Macaca fascicularis: one gene and its partners. The protein of the gene in region 2 interacts with the protein of the main gene of each other region in a pairwise test. Links are inferred from orthologs where the notes say so. Each region holds a gene or a part of one and is shown on either strand. Other genes may lie near its edges.

What was found.
Region 1: the proteins of HSF2 (region 2) and TPM3 interact in binary tests that used the Homo sapiens proteins (3 or more experiments, as listed by UniProt). The two-hybrid records come from large-scale screens. The link is inferred for Macaca fascicularis from reciprocal best matches to the Homo sapiens genes HSF2 and TPM3.
Region 3: the proteins of HSF2 (region 2) and WDR5 interact in binary tests that used the Homo sapiens proteins (3 or more experiments, as listed by UniProt). The two-hybrid records come from large-scale screens. The link is inferred for Macaca fascicularis from reciprocal best matches to the Homo sapiens genes HSF2 and WDR5.

What each region holds. Positions count from the first base shown.
Region 1 is NC_088375.1:106,985,883-106,990,829, forward strand, and holds part of TPM3 (tropomyosin alpha-3 chain), read left to right. Parts: intron 1-3,406; coding exon 3,407-3,540; intron 3,541-4,947. UniProt on the Homo sapiens protein: Binds to actin filaments in muscle and non-muscle cells. Plays a central role, in association with the troponin complex, in the calcium dependent regulation of vertebrate striated muscle contraction.
Region 2 is NC_088378.1:26,395,473-26,400,419, forward strand, and holds the end of HSF2 (heat shock factor protein 2), read left to right. Parts: intron 1-1,103; exon of another isoform or gene 1,104-1,259; intron 1,260-2,536; coding exon 2,537-2,621; intron 2,622-3,030; coding exon 3,031-3,326; 3' UTR 3,327-4,065; downstream 4,066-4,947. UniProt on the Homo sapiens protein: DNA-binding protein that specifically binds heat shock promoter elements (HSE) and activates transcription. In higher eukaryotes, HSF is unable to bind to the HSE unless the cells are heat shocked.
Region 3 is NC_088389.1:5,230,258-5,235,204, forward strand, and holds part of WDR5 (WD repeat-containing protein 5), read right to left. Parts: intron 4,887-4,947; coding exon 4,778-4,886; intron 4,107-4,777; coding exon 4,033-4,106; intron 3,673-4,032; coding exon 3,583-3,672; intron 3,288-3,582; coding exon 3,198-3,287; intron 2,981-3,197; coding exon 2,897-2,980; intron 1-2,896.

The DNA of each region.
Region 1 (4,947 bases), on a different chromosome or scaffold from region 2:
AGGGGAGAGGCAGATAGCCTTTTACCCCTGCTTAGGCTCCGCCTTTGTTTACTGTGGGGCAGATAGCTCTACTCCCAGCTTGCCTCCCCTTTGGTGAAGTTTAAATTCCCCAAGGACACGGTATCTCCCTGGTTAATGCATTTGTGAGCACAGGGAACTCAAGTAGTCCTTTACTCACAGGGCTGAAGCCTAACTTTCTAATACTCTTTCATTTGAATTTTCATCTGTGGCTTTTATCTAATAAGAGAAACCCCAGTGTGGCAGAAAGCCAGATTTAGGCTAATCCCCTTCTGTCCTTGGCCCTGTTCTGCCTGAGAGTACCATCCCACTGTCAGTTTCTTTACTGAAGGGGTTGACATATTTGGGAAATCTCTTTGGAGTGGAGGATAGCTGAAGCTGTTGTTAGCCGTCTTATAATGTGACTGAATTACTGCTGCATGCCACTCCTCCCCCAATCCCCCACCCAGGATCTTTGCTTCCTGGGCAGTGGAGAATCCTATTATTACCTGAAGGGAAGGACCACAGAATACTGTATATCCTCCAAGCTGGGCAGAGATAGGTCAGCTGAAACATCAAAACCACATCTGGAGGGGCATGCTAAAACCTAAGATGATTAGGAAAGTGCAGAGCTTAATGTTTCCCAGGGCCACAGGTAGCCTGGTCAACAAAAAGTAGGCCTGTTCAATCTCTTGGTACCCCTTGGTATTATATGACCTGACAGGGACAGGCACTGTGCATAGACTCATGAGGGAAAAGTCAGCTTGTCTTCCTTGTTCCTTTAAACAAAGTATCAAATCTTGATTCTGCAGGCTTTTGTTTCATTGTAAAGAGAACTGATCCTCTGTGCTAGCAGAAAAGAGAAAGGCAAGGTCCCATTCCCTCCCACCCCACCCCCGAGGGGTTCTCTGAAACTTTGCTAGGCCTCCCATCTCGGGTTCTGCTTTAGATACAGGCTTGTTCATGTGTGCATGCTCTTAGGAGGGCACCAAGATGTGTTTCCACCCCCTCCCTTTTCAGCCTTGCTAAGAATTCTATTGTAAATGCTGATTTGTGGGAGAAACTGCCTGAGCCAGCTTGCTGTCATGGCAACTATACACCCCCGCCCCAGAGCCTGTTATCTTCTACTCCAGTTTGGGTAACTACTGGTGAGCTGGATGATGCCTTACATTTCATGAGCTTCCTCTAAATCTAGTTGTATTTTTCGTCTGAGGTGGGTAAGTCATTTTACTAGCAGTGTCTCATAGTTCTTGCCTGATAGCCTTCACTTGTGGCCTTGTTGGGTTTGTGAGGATAAATGTGTGTTGTTACAGAGGACATCTGTTTTTCTGGAAGAGGCAGAAGCAGAGAATACTTGTCTTTGTGGTGTTTTGAATAGTGTAGTTAGAAGCACAAATGGTTTGTTAGTAATTTCAGCTTATGTTGACTTCTCGATTTTCTTTGCCTGGTGGCTAGATTAGCCCCAGCCCTCTGCTTCCCTTCCTAGTCTCTTCAACCACTCATGTTTGTATGTGGAAGTTTTTGTGCCAATCCTGATTGTTAAAAAGGAGTCTTTTGGTCTATATTCTTCCTCATCAGAGCTAGTGGCCCAGGCTATATCTATAGCTGCCCCAACTCCTGCCTGCCAGGAAGAAATCAGGGTAATAGAATTCAGGCACAATCTGGGCTATAGAAGAGAGATCGTGTTTACCAGGCACTTGGATAAGCATCTGAACTGGGTGGTGTAAGGGGCATATTAAATTCTCGTATATTGTTGCAGTCAGGGTACCTCCCACCAGTAAAGGTAGTGGGGAAGCAGTCATGGAAAGAGATTTTCCTACCATTAGAATTTATCCATCCACCTACAGGCTGCCTCCTTCTTTCCTTGTTTCTTATTCCATTGCTAGGGAAACCCATCCAGGATGGGTTTACTTGGACTCTAGCCTATACTTCATTGTGAGATGGAGGCCAGGGGGAAGATTGCCATAAGCTGTATTAGAGGTTGAAGCTAAGGGGATGGCTGGAGGAATAGAAAGGAGACAATTCAGAAATTTGGAGGAATGGTAGTGGGTGTGGTGGAAATGTTCTTTCTTTTTTGTTATGCTGTCAAAACAGATAATTTTAGCCAGAAGCAGCTCCTTGTAGCCAACTTAAAAAAGGAGTAGGGGGGCACAAGTTTAAGGGATGGTGAGTAGGCATCCCAACAATGTTCCATTCTTTTGCTTTCCAGTCTGGAAGGCTATTCTGGAAGACGTTCCCTTGGCTAGTTATTTTTCTGATATATTAGGGTAAAGTGATCATAGGAATAACAGTTTGAGTTAAGCAGCAATTAATAGGTAATCCAGGATTCCCTCTTTTTTTTTTTTTTTTTTGAAATAGAGTGTCACTCTGTTGCCCAGGCTGGAGTATAATGGCACGATCTCAGCTCACTACAATCTCCACCTCCCGGGTTCAAGCGATTCTCCTGCCCTAGCCTCCCGAGTAGCTGAGACTACAGGTGCCCGCCACCAAGCCTGGCTAATTTTTGTATTTTTTTTTTAATTAGAAATGGGGTTTCACCGTATTGACCAGGCTGGTCTTGAACTCCAGACCTCGTGATCCACCCGCCCCAGCTGCCCAAAGTGCTGGGATTACAGGTGTGAGCCACTACACCCAGCCAGGATACCCTCTTTAAGAAACCTTGCAGGCCGGGCGCGGTGGCTCACGCCTGTAATCCCAGCACTTTGGGAGGCCGAGGCGGGCGGATCACGAGGTCAGGAGATCGAGACCATCCTGGCTAACACGGTGAAACCCCGTCTCTACTAAAAATGCAAAAAATTAGCCGGGCGAGGCAGCAGGCGCCTGTAGTCCCAGCTACTCGGGAGGCTGAGGCAGGAGAATGGCGTGAACCCGGGAGGCGGAGCTTGCAGTGAGCCGAGATCGCGCCATTGCACTCCAGCCTGGGCGACTAAGTGAGACTCTGTCTCAAAAAAAAAAAAAAAAAAAAAAAAGAAACCTTGCTTATTTATTTATTTATTTATGTATTTATTCTACTTTATGAGACACTTAGACGGTTACTAAGGATGAGATATGCCTCTGAGCCAGAACTCAGGCAGAAGGAACACTTCATTGACTTTCTTTTCTGACTGCAGTGTGTTTAGGAATTTGAACTGAGTCCAGGAAGTGGGTGGTACTAACTCACTGGGCTGGGCAAGGAACTGAGTTTTAAACCACTCTTCCTGTGGAACATATGGGAGTTCGTTGATGGGAAAGGGAGGAAATATATATATATAAAGTTATGTCTGCTAGATCTTTTAACAGCTGAGCTAAGACAAGTTCTACCCTGCGAGACTCTGGCTTTTTCATGGTAGTCAACCCCGATCTTAATGTCGTAGTTACTTCTTTTCACCATGCCTCTGCTTCCCTTGTCCATTCTTTCCTTCAAATGCAGGCTGAGGCTGAGGTGGCCTCCTTGAACCGTAGGATCCAGCTGGTTGAAGAGGAGCTGGACCGTGCTCAGGAGCGGCTGGCCACTGCCCTGCAAAAACTGGAAGAAGCAGAAAAAGCTGCTGATGAGAGTGAGAGGTGTGTAGTGAAGCCTGATGGAGTGTGGATTTTAAAAGACATTCATAATAGTTCCGATCAAGATTTCCTTATAGACTGTTTTTCAAATAGCAGTTCTGGCTGCATGTGGTGGCTCACGCCTGTAATCCTTGCACTTTGGGAGGCTGAGGCAGGAGGGTGGCTCGAGCCCAGGAAATTGGGGCTGCAGTGAGCTGTGATTGCGCCACCGCACTCCTGGGTGACAGAGCAAGACCCTGTCTCAATCAATCAAGAAAAATAAAATACTAACTCTATCATACAGGATCTCCTTTCTTTCTTTTTTTTTTTTTTTTTTTTTTTGAGACAGAGTCTCGCTCTGTCGCCCAGGCTGGAATGCAGTGGCGCGATCTCGGCTCACTGCAAGCTCCGCCTCCAGGGTTCACGCCATTCTCCTGCCTCAGCCTCCCAAGTAGCTGGGACTACAGGCGCCCGCCGCCACGCCCAGCTAATTTTTTGCATTTTTGGTAGAGACGGGGTTTCACGATGTTAGTCAGGATGGTCTCAATCTCCTGACCTCGTGATCCTCCCGCCTCGGCCTCCCAAAGTGCTGGGATTACAGGTGTGAGCCACCATGCCCGGCCCAGGATCTCCTTTCTATTCTGCATGTTCTGTTCCTTTGAAGACAGTAAGGGTAACTTAGATGTTGTGACCCTTTTGTAATTGGTATTTCCCTACAAATTGGCCCAATGATCCTTAAAATGGGATCACCAGTATGACTTCCACGTTCTGGATCATAAATTTCTATTTGTGAGATTAATTTCTCTAAAACAGAGGTTCTCTAAGTAAGGTCTCAGACCAGCAGCATCGACAATACTTGGGAACTTGGTAAAAATTCACATTCTCAGCTCCTATCCTGATCTACTGAATGAGAAACTTTGGATGTGGGGCCTGGCAATCTGTTTTTAGTAAGCCTTCTCAACCCTGGTTGCATTATTAGAATCTTAGGTGGGGTAGGGGGGAAATCACTGGGGAATTTAAAACTGTGGATTCTTAGATCTCATCCCAGTTCCATTAGAATCAATTGCAAGAGGGGTCTGGGCATTGATGTTTTTAAAGTTCCCCAGCTAATTTTAATGTGTTCCTAGGGTTGAGAACCATGGCCCTTGAACCAAATCATAACTCATCTTTTTGAAAATAGCCAGTTGTCTCCTTGCCACATGTGAGTTAAACTAGAACAGAGGTGCGTGACAACTCAGGGTTTTCAGAATAAATAGTGCCCTGCAAAGGGTACGTTACTACTGTGCAGCTGTGAAAATGAAAGACGCATCTATGTGTATACTATTAGAGTAGTGTGCAAATTATAGAAAGTGAGGGCTCGGGTACAGTGGCTCACACCTGTAATCCCACCGCTTTGGGAGGCTGAGGTGGACGATCACTTGAGGCCAGGAG
Region 2 (4,947 bases):
TTATACATTCAGTATTCAGATAATTTATATTGGAGGTTGGGATACTTTCTCCATAAAGGGGCAGCTAGTAAATACTTTATCTTTCAGGCCATGTGTTCTCTGTCAAAACTATGCAGTTCTGCAATTGTAGTGCAAAAGCAGATACAGACAATATGTAAAAGAATGTGTGGCTGTGTTGCAAAAAAACTTCATTTAGACAGGCAGCATGCTAAATTTGGCATGTGGACCATAGTTTACCTGGATTTATATTGTAAGATTTTGTGTAACATGCTCTGTGTTTCAGTAAATATATTACTGAATGTTATTCTCATGGACCGTTTAAGTTGAATGGACCCATATCATTTGTTCATTTAGTGAATGTGCTTTATTGTTTATTTGTGACTAGACATTGAGTCATTTTTTATTTGTGGACCATCTTCTTATTCCAGAAACCAAGAACTTGATTATAGTTTTCAAAAACTGTAAGCAGTTAAGCAACAAATTGCATTTTGCTCTACAATGCTGTAGAAAAATTACATTTGAGAGTGACTTTTCATTATAGTTCTGAATCTAGATTTTAATGTTTTCAAATAATTGCCACATCAGCTGTCCTTCCCTTGCTCATGACAGGTGTTACATAACATGGATTACAACACTTTCCTAATAAATCAGATGCCTTATACTCCTCAGTACAGCAATCTTAATTGGCCACTATGAATGAATAAGAATTTGCATGGGAAATGAAATCTCATTCAGTATGATATTGGCTGTGGGTGTGTCATAAATAGCTCTTACAGTTTTGAGATATGTTCCATCAATACTTAGTTTATTGGGTGTTTTTAGCATGAAGGGGTGTTGAATTTTATTAAAGGCCTTTTCTGCATCTGTTGAGATAATCATGTGGTTTTTGTCATTTGTTCTGTTTATGTGATGGATTACATTTATTGATACGTGTATGTTGAACTAGCCTTGCATCTCAGGGATGAAGCCAACTTAATCGTGATGGATAAGCTTTATGATGTGCTGCTGGATTCAGTTTGCCGGTATTTTATTGAGGATTTTCGCATTGATGTTTATCAGGGATATTGGCCTGAAATTTTCTTTTTTTGTTGTGTCTCTGCCAGGTTTTGGTATCAGGATGACGCTGGCCTCATAAAATGAGTTAGGGAGGAATCCCTCTTTTTCTATTGTTTGGAATAGTTTCAGAAGGAATGGTACCGCTCCTCTTTGTACCTCTGGTAGAATTCGGCTGTGAATCCGTCTGGTCCTGGCTTTTTTTGGTTGGTAGGCTATTAATTACTGCCTCAATTTCAGAACTTGTTATTGGTCTATTCAGAGATTCGACTTCTTCCTGGTTTAGTCTTGGGAGGGTGTATGTGTCTAGGAATTTATCCAATTTTTCTAGATTTTCTAGTTTATTCGTGTAGAGGTGTTCATAGTATTCTCTGATGGTAGTTTATATTTCTGTGGGATCAGTGGTGATATCCCCTTTATCATTTTTTATTGTGTCTATTTGAAATCCGTTTGTCATCGGGTTCTCATGTTTTAGAATAACAGTGATATCTTTGGAAAATACCTATTTTAGGAAGCCTAAAAATAAAGTTGGTATTATTTCATTAATGTTTATATATTTATTGTGAATGCTAAGTGATGAAATATTTTTATGTACACTTTTGGAAAGGTTTCGTAGTTTTTATTATATCTTGGAGCCCTTATCTTCTCTAAATCCTAAATCTTATACAGCTTCATTTTATGTTAAATATCAGGGGAATTACTGTAATTAGTTTACAGTTGGTTACACCATATATATTTAGCCAGCATGTAGATATCTGGGACTTGCAGATGTCTGGGACTTACAGGAAAAATTAAGAACCTCTGCACCTCAGAGTTTGAACATCATTGAAAAGAGCACTGAAGAAATTAACAAGGTAAAGATACAATTTCCCTACCACAATCAGATGTGAGGAGAGAAGAAAGTGGTTCAAAGAAGCAATTTAAATGACAGAAAAGAACTGACAGAGCTACAAAAAGGACAAGAAGAAACACCACCTCAACTTTGAGGCTTCTAAATAGTGATAATTAGTTTTAAGGATGTCATTATGTCATCCTGAGCTACTCTGTGTTCATTTATGCTAAATATTCTGTTTATGAGTGAAATGTATAATACATTTTTTAAATCAAAACTACTTAAAATGAATTTAATTGCATAATTATCTCTCAGTTAACATTTTGAAACCAGTCATCTTTGATTCGTTCTGATCTTTTACTCTTGACAAATTCTATCTGTTCTGCTGTTGAAATCCCCCTTCATTTCATCCTTAATATAGAATATCCTAATTCAGGTTCTTTGTTTTATCCCCTCAGTGACAGCAATAGTTCCTTAACCAGTCTTGTTATCTCTACTGAAATCTCTCTCTGTAGCCCATTTTTCCTGATGTTTCCCCATCTCATATATTTCAGATAATATACCAGTATTTACATATTGTATCAATTTTTCATTTTTTTCAGAAACTAAAATATGAAACAAGTACTTATATATATATATTTTTTCTTTTAGTCTGAGAATAAAGGATTAGAAACTACTAAGAACAATGTAGTTCAGCCAGTTTCAGAAGAGGGAAGAAAATCTAAATCCAAACCAGGTAGGTATAAATATAGTATTCAGTCTATGTAGGTTTTTTTAATCCTATGTAGAAACAAGTGCAAGCCAAGGGTAGTCTTAACAATTGAATATGCTGGCTTTAGTTCTGTGAATAGTGTGTCAAGGTATAGAGCAAGTTGAATTGGTGAGGTAACAATTATCTTAAAGTTTTTTTTTTTTCTTTCTTTCCTATTTAACTTTAGGAAACTGAAAGACCCCTCATTTCTTAATTGTTGAATGAGAACTACTGACTTGCACATTTTAAAATTTATTGGCATAGTGCATCATGTCATTTCTTGTTTGGCTATCTGAAAGTAGTAATTGCCTATGTGTACATTTGTTTTCATTTTTTCCCCTCAGTTTGAACTCAATATAAGCTGGTGATTAGAGTGTTTTTCTGATCTTTATAGATAAGCAGCTTATCCAGTATACTGCCTTTCCACTTCTTGCATTCCTCGATGGGAACCCTGCTTCTTCTGTTGAACAGGCGAGTACAACAGCATCATCAGAAGTTTTGTCCTCTGTAGATAAACCCATAGAAGTTGATGAGCTTCTGGATAGCAGCCTAGACCCAGAACCAACCCAAAGTAAGCTTGTTCGCCTGGAGCCATTGACTGAAGCTGAAGCTAGTGAAGCTACCCTGTTTTATTTATGTGAACTTGCTCCTGCACCTCTGGATAGTGATATGCCACTTTTAGATAGCTAAATCCCCAAGAAGAGGACTTTACATGTATATATTCATCAAAATGATGAACTATTTATTTTGAAGTATCATTTGGTACTTTTTTTGTAAATTGCTTTGTTTTGTTTAATCAGATACTGTGGAATAAAAGCACCTTTTGCTTTTCTCACTAACCACACACTCTTGCAAAGCTTTCAGATGTTACTCAGCTGCATAGTTACACAGATTTAATGCACATTATTGGCATATCTTTAAGTTGGATTCAAATGGCCATTTTTTTCCAATTTTGGTAAATTGGATTTCTTTTTATTACAATATGACCATTAACCTCAGTTAAATTTTTGTTTGTTTTCCTGTTTGATGCTGTCTATTTGCATTGAGTGTAAGTCATTTGAACTAATGGTATAACTCTTAAAGCTTTCTCTGCTCCAGTTATTTTTATTAAATATTTTTCACTTGGCTTATTTTTAAAACTGGGAACATAAAGTGCCTGTATCTTGTAAAACTTCATTTGTTTCTTTTGGTTCAGAGAAGTTCATTTATGTTCAAAGAAGTTTATTCATGTTCAACAGGAAAGACAAAGTATACATGAATGTTCACAGTCTGATAGGGTTCCAGCTCCATATATATAGAAAGATCGGGGGTGGGATGGGATGGAGTCAGCCCCATCCACTTAGTTGGACTAGTTTTAAATAAAGGTTTTCCGGTTTGTGTTTTTTTGAACCATACTGTTTAGTAAAATAAACACAATGAATGTTGAGTACTAGTGTCTGTTATGTGTCTTCTTTAGAGGTGACACTCACATGAAACAATTTTTTCTTCTCATAGGAAGCAGTGGCTTTAAACTGTCTATGGTTCATTACTCTCAATATGAGTCACACCAAGATCTTTGTACCACATCTCGAAAATATATTGTATATTGCAACGAGGGAGATATATCTCTAAATTTAATGTATTTTGAAGTTCTTTGTTTAAAAATTATACTGGGTTGCTTTCTATGTTTCTAATAAAAAAGTGGGAGAAGTATGCCCCTCATTGTCCCAAATAGGGTAAGAGTATTATCAGTGGATGTCTGGAGAGAAGATAAGAGAAATAGTAAAATCAGCTCTTTCTTTGAAACAGTCGCCCAAGAGAATTATAGAGACTTAATGCAAGGCCAGGGCACTTTTATCATGTGAAGAATTTCACCTTTGGGCAAAGGACTGAAAACAGTACAGTTAATATTGTATAGGGCTATTTAATGAGGAGTTTCAGGGCAGGTTTTCCTATTGGCCATATTCTGTCCATGTCTTAGAATTTCTTTTATTATGATGTAATGATTCAAAGTAAAGGCTAGCACAGAAGAATAGGAAACTTCCCTTAGGGGAATTTTAGTTAGATCCTAAAATACTTGGCTCTGACAGTGGGATCTTGGTGAATTAATTCAAGACCCTACAACAGTGCTCTTCGTGAGCTGAAGAGGTTACGTTTCTAAGGGTGATAAGAAGAGTTTAGAAACTGAGAGGAGAAAACCTTAAAAGATTTTTTCTTCATTCCTTTCTCATTGTGAAATACAATCAAGTTTCTTCTTGGGGGCATTTTGGAGCTCTAGAAGCTCTTCAAAAATAATTTTGAAAAACTTGATTACGACCCTGGTACTTTTAAA
Region 3 (4,947 bases), on a different chromosome or scaffold from region 2:
AAAAGCTAAACACATATCCTGACTACTGCATTTCCCCTCCAAAGTCATCCTTCACAAACTGCCACAGATGCAAACAGGATGTTCGCTGCACTCCTTTTTGTTCAAGTGAGAATTACACATAAGCACCCACTGAGAGGACTGGCACAGTCCCTGCTCACACAGCAGGCCCACACCAGCAGTCCAAGAGTATAGATGTGCGCAGACATCAAAGGTGCCCCAGGACAGACACGGTGGCTCCCGCCTGTAATCCTAGCACTTTGGGAGGACCAGGCGGGTGGATCACTTGAGGTCAGGAGATCGAGACCAGCCTGGCCAACATGGTGAAACCCTGTCTCTACTAAAGATACAAAAATTGCCGGGCGCGGTGGCTCAAGCCTGTAATCCCAGCACTTTGGGAGGCCGAGACGGGTGGATCACGAGGTCAGGAGATCGAGACCATCCTGGCGAACACGGTGAAACCCCGTCTCTACTAAAAAATACAAAAAACTAGTCGGGAGAGATGGCGGGCGCCTGTAGTCCCAGTTACTTGGGAGGCTGAGGCAGGAGAACGGCGTAAACCCGGGAGGCGGAGCTTGCAGTGAGCTGAGATCCGGCCACTGCACTCCAGCCCGGGCGACAGAGCGAGACTCCGTCTCAAAAAAAAAAAAAAACAAAAACAAAAATTAGTCAGTCGTGGTAGTGGGCACCTGTAATCCTAGCTATTTGGGAGGCTGAGGCAGGAGAATCACTTGAACCCAGGAGGCAGAGGTTGCGGTGAGCCAAGATCGCACCACTGCACTCCAGCCTGGGCAACAGAGTGAGACTCCATCTCAAAAAAAAAAAAAAAGAAAAAACAAAGCCCCCACAAACCTCTCTGCAGTGGAGACGGCTACAGAGCAGCAGCTGTGGTGCAGTACCAGTTACTTAAAGGACAGCAGTGAGCTACGCTGGAAAAGACGCACCTAAAACAGCAAAGTAGAAGACCACAGAGGGACCGACTCCACCTCCCAGCAGCTGACCCCAGGGGTGACTCAGGGAATTCATTTTCTACTTCCTACATTTGCTCACCTTTGTAGTTTTTTTTTTTTTTTAAGACATGGGGTCCCACTCTGTCACCCAGGCTGGAGTGCAGTGGTACCATCTTGCTCACCAGAGCCTCAAACTCCTGAGCCCAAGCAATCCTCCCACCCTGTCCTCCCAAGTAGCTGGGACCACACGTGCACACCACCACGTCTGGCTAATTTTTTGCTTTTTGTATAGAGACAGGGTCTCACTCTGTTGTCCAGGCTGGTCTCAAACCCCTGGTCTCACGGGATCCTCCTGCCTCAGCCACCCAAAGTGCTGGAATTACAGGTGGGAGCCATGGCACCCAACCTGTTTTTGTTTTTGTCTTTTTATGAGCAAACTACTTTCGTAGGAAAAAGACTTTTAAAATCCTGCCTATCACCTGCGAGTCCCACCTGCACTATCTTTGGCCTCTAGGATGCTCATGGAATTCTTTCTTCCAACTCAAAGGCCACCAGCGAACCCCTTTCTCAGGTTACTTCACAAGTGTTCATTTGTCAGCCCAGTCTGAAAGTCAGTTCTGCTGACTGTGACCCAAGGTGCCCTGAAGGGCAGGGGACTGGCACCAAGGGGCTGGGCCCACGAGCACACAGCCACAAGCACAGGGCCACATGATGACATTCCCACAGCAAACAGCCTCCCTGCAGCGGTGACACTGGGCCTGCGAGGGCCTTGTGGCCCGGTTATGTGCGGGGCTCAGACACCGCACCCCGCCCTGGCCTGACACACTACCCATCCAGCCAGTACCAGGGCTTCGCCTGCCATCTCACTCGGGCAAAGCCTTGCAAGGGTAAAAATGCTTAAACCCATTCACCACCAAGACAACAGAAAATGAATGCCACACTGGCGGGCAGCATGGCACAAACGCTGCATCCACCTTTCCTTCCGCTTCTCAACGAAGGGCAGGCTTCGCCGAGAAACTGCCTCATGCACTTTGTTAACAGAAGAACCTTCTGGCCACTCTGAAATGGAGCGGTTTGTGATACTGCATACACTTTAACTCTCGGCCATTTGTTCTTGTTTTCTTCTTTTTAGACGGAGTTTCGCTCTTGTTGCCCAGGCTGGAGTGCAGTGGCACGATCTCGGCTCACTGCAACCTCTGCCTCCCAGGTTCAAGCGAGTCTCCTGCCTCAGTCTCCCCAGGAGCTGGGATTACAGGCGCTCACTACCACGCCCAGTTAATTTTCATAGTTTTAGTAGAGACGGGGTTTCACCATGTCGGTCGGGCTGGTCTCAAACTTCTGACCTCAAGTGATCCACCCACCTCGGCCTCCTAAAGTGCTAAGATTACAGGTGTGAGCCACCATGCTCGGCCTCTCGGTCATTTGTTGTGCACAGTGGTACAGCAACAGCAGAATGGCAGGATGTGTTCCTTTGCAAAGCCTGTTCTCCAGAGAGCTCCAGCTTCCAACTGTTCCCACCAGGACTGGGCCATCCCCGCCCAGAGCTAACTCCACTCAAAACTCACACTTCACCTACACTCCCACTCCCAGCACCCTTCTCAGCCTGGCCGCCCTTCCTGTCCCATGCATCAGTTCAGGGTACACTACCCTCTGAACGCCTGTGGCCACTGCCCACCCCTCATCCAGCCTGCACGAAAGGCCCCTTGGTGCTCACCACAGGGCACCCCACTGACACCTCACCACCCCCTTGCCATCCCTCTACTGCACACAGGACTCATCTCTCAGGTCCCAGCCTCCAACCTGAATGCTCTAGACTGTGGCATGACAGCAGGAATCAGATAGGCACAGGCAACGTCCAGGCTTACGCCCCTCGGGGAGACAGCTGGCCACATCCAGCATCAGAGGCACGTAGTGCCGGACACCACCCCGTCTGTGTCAGCAGGACTTACGGCCGAGACTGGATCCGAGTGAGCTGGCAAAGTCTTGAGGCACTTCCCTGTTTTCACATCCCATATCCTCACACTTTCATCAAACTGAACACAAAAGAAGAAATGACAGTGATTCTACAGGAAGGAGAAGGAGCAAACCTCCCCAGAACCCAAGACCTGCCACCAGTCCATCCTCCCCACAAACAGCACAGAAAGGACTCGGGCCCCACCTGCCTTCTCCACAGTGGCTACAAGCAAGTTCAACAGCCTTCCCAACATCCAACACCACCTCCCCCAGGGAAGACACCCCGGCCACACTCACGGATCCTGAGACAATAAGGTTGGACTGGGGATTGAAGTTACAGCAAAAGACATAATTACTGTGTCCCTTCAGGGTTTTCAAACACTTCCCCTAAAACAAGAGTATTAGTAGTATTACTCCAGTGCTTATTTCCCCAAACATAAGTGTCGGATCACATTCATCAATGCCTGACAGCTCAGAGCATGCCTGATGCCCCGCCAGCAACTGGCTGTTCCCCGAAGTCAACTCGACCTCCCCCACCTGCCCCCGCCCCATGCCCCTGCAGCCAGTCTTCCCTGGAGAGGAGCACTGAGTGCTGCTTACCGAGCAGTCAACCCAGTCCCCACCACCCGCCCTGTGCCCCGCTGCCGGTCTCCCCTGGAGAGGAGCGCTGAGTGTTGCTTACCGAGCTCACGTCCCATATCTTCAAGGTTTTGTCATCTGAGGCGGAAACAAGAAGGTTAGAATCTGACGACCAGGCTACATCGGATATTCCCTTGGGGAGAAAAAACAGGGTCAGTAACTTGCCAGGACAAAGTAGGACCGGTTAGCAAAAGGTCAAAATCCCAAACATCCCCATTGCCCTCAGGAAATCTTCTCACTAGCCTTAACCTTACAAAAGACACGCGGCCCTGGAGGAAAACAGCAGGCTTTCCGCAGCTCTGCCAGCCTCACAGACACTCCTCCGTGGGAAGTCAAATGTATTTGCGTTAAAAGTTCAAGATGCAAATAACTCTAAAAAAACAACGTGGAAATTTAAACCTGAACCCACAGCTCTCGAAGCAGCCCTGACCCCTTGATCACTAGGAGCCACCCTGTTCAACAGTCAACATTACCGCACGGGGCTGAAACCTACCAGCTTGTGGCCAGATATGGTTTTCTCAAATTTCCCATCATACGCGCCCCAAATTTTAATGAGTTTATCAGCGGCTGAAAGAAAACAAAAGGATCGGAGGCTAAGAGCAAGACACAGTTGTCCAGTCATCCAGAATCCAAAGTCTGGGCTTTTCCCACATGAGCCCCAGATGATCAGCATGAACCACATGGCTCAGAACCCATTCCGCACGGCCACATCCCCGAGAGGACCAGTCCCCTTCCCCTCCCTCCAAGGGCCCACGGGCAACTTCTTCTATTTCTTTTTTCGTTTTTTTGAGACGGAGTCTCGCTCTGTCACCCAGGCTGGAGTGGAGTGGCATGATGTCGGCTCACCGCAACCTCCACCTTCCGGGTTCAAGTGATTCTCCTGCCTCAGCCTCCCAAAAGCTGGGACTACAGGCATGTGCCACCATGCCTGGCTAATTTTTTTTTTGTATTTTTAGTAGAGACGGGGTTTCACCATATTGGCCAGGCTGCTCTCAAACTCCTGACCCTGTGATCCACCCGCCTCAGCCTCCCAAAGGGCTGAGATTACAGGTGTGAGCCACCACGCCCAGCCCCCACGGGCAATTTCAATCGGCACTAAGGTCACAGTTCTAGGAGGAGACACGCCCACCTGCTACAGCCCCCCAGCGGCAGGTGAGGAAGCCAGCCACCCCCAGCCGGTTTGTTGTCTGCAGCTCAGACCGCCTTTCCCAGCAGCTAAGGACCTCAGTGCTACGTACATGAACTTGCCAGCCACTCTCCATTCGGGCTGAATTTCACAGAGGACACTGCTTTGGTGTGGCCAGCAAGGGTGAACTTTAGAGCATAGTTTGGCTTCACGGGTGTAGGCTGCGGGAGAGACCAGTTAGCGAAAAGTTACCACCACTGTGCGTTCCACTCGTGACCAGTT